2 linked regions of the Oryzias latipes genome follow. The protein of the gene in region 1 interacts with the protein of each later gene in a pairwise test. Links are inferred from orthologs where the notes say so. Each region holds a gene or a part of one and is shown in the gene's direction. Other genes may lie near its edges.

The links.
Region 2: the proteins of klhl2 (region 1) and tma16 interact in binary tests that used the Homo sapiens proteins (3 or more experiments, as listed by UniProt). The two-hybrid records come from large-scale screens. The link is inferred for Oryzias latipes from reciprocal best matches to the Homo sapiens genes KLHL2 and TMA16.

The regions. Positions count from the first base shown.
Region 1 is NC_019859.2:19,769,480-19,773,141, forward strand, and holds part of klhl2 (kelch-like protein 2), read left to right. Parts: intron 1-1,862; coding exon 1,863-2,025; intron 2,026-2,400; coding exon 2,401-2,510; intron 2,511-2,589; coding exon 2,590-2,706; intron 2,707-3,662. UniProt on the Homo sapiens protein: Substrate-specific adapter of a BCR (BTB-CUL3-RBX1) E3 ubiquitin ligase complex that mediates the ubiquitination of target proteins, such as NPTXR, WNK1, WNK3 and WNK4, leading most often to their proteasomal degradation.
Region 2 is NC_019859.2:19,507,518-19,509,877, forward strand, and holds the end of tma16 (translation machinery-associated protein 16), read left to right. Parts: intron 1-1,353; coding exon 1,354-1,525; 3' UTR 1,526-1,750; downstream 1,751-2,360. UniProt on the Homo sapiens protein: Involved in the biogenesis of the 60S ribosomal subunit in the nucleus.

The DNA.
Region 1 (3,662 bases):
AGTAATCTGTTCAGAAGGAAGCAGATGTAAAAAGTATGAAACTACACACAAGACACATGCAGAGTAGCCAATGTTTAAAAGCTGAACAACCGTTGTGACAAAACTTTATTTTGTTTTCTTCTATTTTGTAAACTATATCACTAGCTGTGTTACTACATATAAAAAAAAGATAGTTTAGTTAAGAAGTGAATTCCAATCCTTGACTCTACCTCTGTTTTCCTACAAGGCTAAAGGGTACGTGTAGAAATTAGGGGTGTGTACCTTTCCCTCTCACATGATTTGATACATGGTCCATGAATCGATACATAAATGATTCAACTAACCTAGTGGCATCAAAATACAGTCTATTTCTTTTACCTTAATGGATACAATCCAAATATTTACTACTCATTTGGTGTTTAAAGCTATAAATGACAATGTCTTTTAACAGACATGTCTTTTTTTTCTAACTGGCACTTTTATTAAGCAACAACAGAAATAACTACCTTAAACATAAATATCTGGCATTTGAGGATTGTTTAACTGTTTTCTGGTTTTAAAATAGGTGTCAGGGGTTATGCTATGTTTAATGTAGTTCAGCCAATTGTAACTGACCCAAGCAAGCTTGTGATTGGATGTCTTTCTTTTTCTCACATCACCTGCACATACAAAAACAAAGGCAAAGACAGTAGACATAGCAGGAAAAGAAATGCACTATAATTGCTAAAAATTAGTTGTTCGCTTTCCGATAGATTTTTGTAATACTTTTTACTAGAGATGTGACAATTCTCCGTTTAAAAACTGAACTATATGTTACTCTATTGAACTGAATCGTGGCAAAGTGTTTCATTGCATCCCTACTACATACCAGGATTTTTACACTGAAAGTCAAACACGTGTGTATTATTGTTTATTTGATAACATTACACCAGGCTTAGACAGCTGAAATCTTTTTTTTTATTGTTACTGTCTTATTTTAGAAGTAAAAACTGAAATTTTTGAATTTGTTGTTTTTTTTTGTTGATGTTTTGTTATACACAGATCATATATTGAACCTAAACAACACCGTGACTAAAAAATCTATGTTTGAACTGAATCAGGGAGACAGCGAATTGTTGCATTCCTGCTTTTTATAAATATAATCTCATTGGTATCTGTGCATTTTTCCAAATGGACATGTTAATCTTTACATCCCATAGTAGAAATGCAAGCACTGCGATAGCTATGATCTCAGTAAAATCTTTTGGAAACTACTGTGGTTGGTGCATAAAATAATAAATAAATAAAAAAAAGTTATGGCCTAGATTAAGGATGGGCAACTTCAGGCCTCGAATGCCACATTCTTGCATGTTTTCCAACATTCTCTGCTCTGGCATTTTCTATTTGGCTGGACACACCCGAACCAGGTAATAAGTCAGGTGTTGGGCTTGGATATCTGGAAATCATACAGACACAGCGGCCCTCAGGGCCTGGAGTTGGCTATCCCTGTTCTAGAATATAATATTTAAAGAATTAAGTATGTGCACAAATTATTTGATATGAACAATTATCTTAAAAAAAGATTAGTGCATTGTTTTTATAATGTGAAGTCCTCTCAGACGGACATTGAACACTTATAACACAAATATAACCCATACAATGGGTTTCTTGACTAAAAAACATCCACTTTTGCATGACTTAATATTCTATGTTAAGAGCATTGATAAAGAGTTATCGCTTTATCTAAATCAACATTCGAAAGACACTCCTCTTTCCTGATGTAAAGCTTGGGCCAAAATGCAGAATTGGATTCACCTATAGTCACTTTTAGAGTGGTTGCTCGATTGACGTAACAGATGTAACCGAACTGTGTTCAGACCTTGTGTTGCTTTGCTGTTTTCCAGGCGCTGCTGCCTGCAGCAGGGCTGCTCCAGCTCAATGAGGTGAAAAAGGCTTGCTGTGAGTTCCTGGGCGCTCAGCTTCATCCATCCAACTGTCTGGGGATTCGCGCTTTCGCTGACTTACACGCCTGCTCCCAACTGCTTGTGCAGGCTAACAGCTATGCAGGTTCTTGTGGCTTTAAAAGTCCGTTCACACACATATGTTTTTAGGATCTAAAATCACACCTAGAATGATCCAATAATGCCTATGATCTCAATCGTAACGTATTACCTTTACATATAAGACGTCTTTGCCACTTGTTGTTTAGGGTTACATCAGAGTCGTGTACTTTTCCAGTTTTTTGTAGGTCATTGTCATGCAGTGCAGTGATACTCACTTTATTGAAGCGAGTTTATGGGAGTCCAGAAGAATTTGGAACAAAAGAGGGGACAGAATGAGGACGGGTGTAATTAATGGCCCGTTGGAGAGAAGCAAACTTCTTGCATGTTTTGTCTGCTGCCACAGAAAGAGGCTGTAAAACTTTTGTCTTTGTGATGACAGAGCAACACTTCACTGAGGTGGTTGGAAGTGAGGAGTTTCTCAATTTGGGCATGGAGCAAGTGTCCAGCCTGATTGCAAGTGACAAGCTGACGATCCCCACTGAAGAGAAGGTATACATTTGTCTCGATGGCCATCCACGATAGGGCTCTCAGGTTATTGTTCAGATTTACAGATGTATCTTGTAAACAGGTGTTTGAGGCAGTGATTGCTTGGGTCAACCATGACAAAGATGTCCGCCAGGAACACTTGGCTTACCTAATGGAGCATGTTCGCCTGCCACTCCTCTCCAGAGAATACCTGGTGCAGGTATGTATTCCTGCTGTCGGTCTTTTCCTACCTTTGTCTCGTGTCTTTTTCTGTACATTTTGAACCATTGACTATATAATGAAACTGGACAAGTTGTGTGTGAGACGTCACCCTTGCCTCTAGTTCCAACCGTTGACTGTAGAAACGATGGTCAGCTCAACCCCTCCCTTCTCGTGTTCCCAAATAGGAAGTAACATTGCTTTCTAATACGAGTGCCGCCATGTTGAAACCTGTCATCGTATCTATGACAACTACTGTCGCCATTGCCATAGATACGATGGCTCAGAGCGACTCTGACTAATCACTGTCGACTGGTTTTTACGGGCCTGTGTCAGGAAGGAATGGTGAGGGTTTTTGCCTCATTTCGCGAGAGCTGGAGGTAAAGTTCCAACCAAATGAAATCAATTTAGTTTCCATTTTTCTGCAATATGTCCATCGCCAAGTTGGAACCAGACATCCTCAGTACTCCATGATTGGTCTGTCTACATTTCTGTGGCAACCACTCTCTCCAATCAGGAGTGAGCACCCCTACACCTGAAAGTGGGCACTGTAGAATCTGTCAATCAAATGCTTTGAATGTTCAACGTGAGGCCACCTAATTTTATTAAGGCATCTGATTGGTCAATTTATAACTTGAATAACTTGCGCTACAGCAAAAATATAGTGGAAAAAAAAATCAGGATTCGCAAGAACATATTGATAAACGGTATTAGAGCAAGAATGGTTATTCTGAAGAACATTATGAATGACTAATAGCTATTTATTTCTCAATAGAGGTCTATGGGATTTTTGCTTTTTTGGACCAGCGGTTACCCCTTATTTGGAACGCAAGGGAGGAGGGGTCACTCAGTCCAGTTCTCATTTACTGTCAATGATTTGAACAACAAGGGGTGTTTTGTAGGGGTGTAACAATTCAATTTAACGATTCTATTCACATCATAATTTGTGTTTGCTGA
Region 2 (2,360 bases), about 260 kb from region 1:
CACCATGCCTTTATTTACACTCTCTCACGCTAGCTTACACCCCCTCACAACCCCAACCGTATATTACCGGCGCTACAAAAATGGCGAGCAACATTGGAGCTATCCAGCTGTAGAGTTTTGAGCCAGATGCCAGCTCAGACGAGGAAAATGAAGACGTTAATGGATCTATTTGTCTGAAAGTGGATGCATCAGAACGAAACTGAGCAGGGAGACTTTGGCCCATCCATTTCAGTTGTGTCACAAAAGAAAGCCTTTTCAAACTGGATTTTATAGTCTGCTCCTGGGTCATTCTGATTTGAATAAGTACTCAGAAATCTTAAATAAATGTCCTCCTCGTGAAAAGAATTCTACAAGAACATGTTAAAATCCCCCAAAACACTATTTTCATTGGAGTGGGTCTTTAAAACCTATTGTATGCAACTTCAAAAATGTTTTCTGCCCTGAAGTTCAACAACATTCCACTAGGGGCAGTAGTGGAATTTCAAAATGGCTGCTTCAGTGAAATCTCAAAAACCTTGTTGGTTGGAAAAGTTTAGCTAATTTTTCTATACTTCATGGTCAGAATAGCTCCTTTATTGTTATTCATTTCTAAAATGACTACTCGCTGAATTAAATAAATGCAAATTTTGTTGACAGTAAATTCTTTCTAACAATGTCAATACCATGTCAATAATATGTGGATCAAATTTGAGACAGTGAATAAATAAGGTGCTTTTTTGTCCTGAACATTCATGTCAGAGTTTGCACATCTTAAACTAACATTGTTGCGAGCAAAAATTTACCAAATGACCCCACCCTTACATGTTATTCCTTGTTATTCCTAACATGACAAAGGTGGATAGAGGTGGAAAGATTTCATGTAATCCATGGACACCAGTGAAGATCACAAATCAGTGAAGAAAAAAGGTTCAGAGCACTGTCTAGTGGGTCTAGATGACCCAACTCCCAATCTTAAAGAAGTACCATAAAAATCTTCTATTTTGTAAATTTTTCCCCTTTAAAATCCATTCATAAAGTAGAATCATGTATTTATTAGTGATGCTTTGAACATTGATATAAATAAACAGGTTGCTCTTTGGTTGGTCTAAAGGAACATTCTTAGAATCGTTAGACCTCTTAAAATAAGGGGATTACATTTGCTTAAATGAGATTTCTGGACACCATGCTTAAGAAATGTCTTACTGCAAGAAAGGATGTCATGTTGTGTAAAAATCTGCTTGTGGTTTCATAAGGTTCTCCCTCATTTGAGACTTTTGCAACTCTAAAGTCTGCGTTTCTGATGTGTTTTGTTTTGTATGTTCTGCAGCTTAAAATGAGATATTTTTGTCGATTTCTGTTTTTCTTTCATGGCAGAGAATGGACCGGGGATCTGAGAAAACTTCCAAACATTAAACTGCGAAAGGTGTCGAATAAAGGGCTGGGCACAAAGAATGAAGGAAAGGAGGATGTAGAAGAGGAACATAAAGAAGATAAGGATGATTGCAGTTATGAAGATGAGTCAGCGCAGATGTCCGACTCCCACTGAGACTGCAATGAGGCTTTTGTGGAACTGCCACCAAACTGGCCTTAAAATAAAGGACTCCTGTGAAGCACCTGACCATGCTGAGCTGTGTTCGACTGAACGACGTCACCACAGCAGCCTCACTCGGGGTTCTACATTCAGTCTTTATTGCACAGACAAAAATGGGCGTTACACCCAGAGAATCATGTGAAACGTCAAAGTGAATAAATAAAGCTGTAGAAAAGTGGATGAACTGTGGTCTATTTCAGTGCAGTGTGACCAAACAGCTTTAATCCAAGTTACAAACTGATGGCAACAATAACATTTCTAGTGACACAAATGCATGAAGAACTGATCTCCAGTGAACGAGAACACACAGCTCCAATCAAAACAGCTACTTGAGGTTCGATTTTAACATTTAACACATTCCTATGGCAATAATATATATGTATATATATATATTTGAAACATTAGATTTTTATACTTCAGACGGAATTACAATTTATTTTTGAATACCTGTTTCTGTACTTGTGAACTCTGACTCTTTGGTGTCTGGTGTCCTGATTGTCCAGAGCTAATGTTAAGGCCCCAGTATGCTTCAAAGTGCAATTCAGATTTCAGCAGAGGCTCTGGAACGAGGGTCACAACAAACTCTGATCCTCTTTTTTTTTTTCTGCATCAACAGAAAGCTTTAGTGGGACTGATGACTCATCCAAATGCATTTTACGTGTTTCAGCTGTTATTCTTCTTTGAACATTCAGTATCTGCTGGTTATAAGATAAAATAATAGTGGTCAAAAAGAAAAGAGGGTTTGGATTAACCCTTGTGCTATCTTAGATGACCCCCACCCTTATATTGA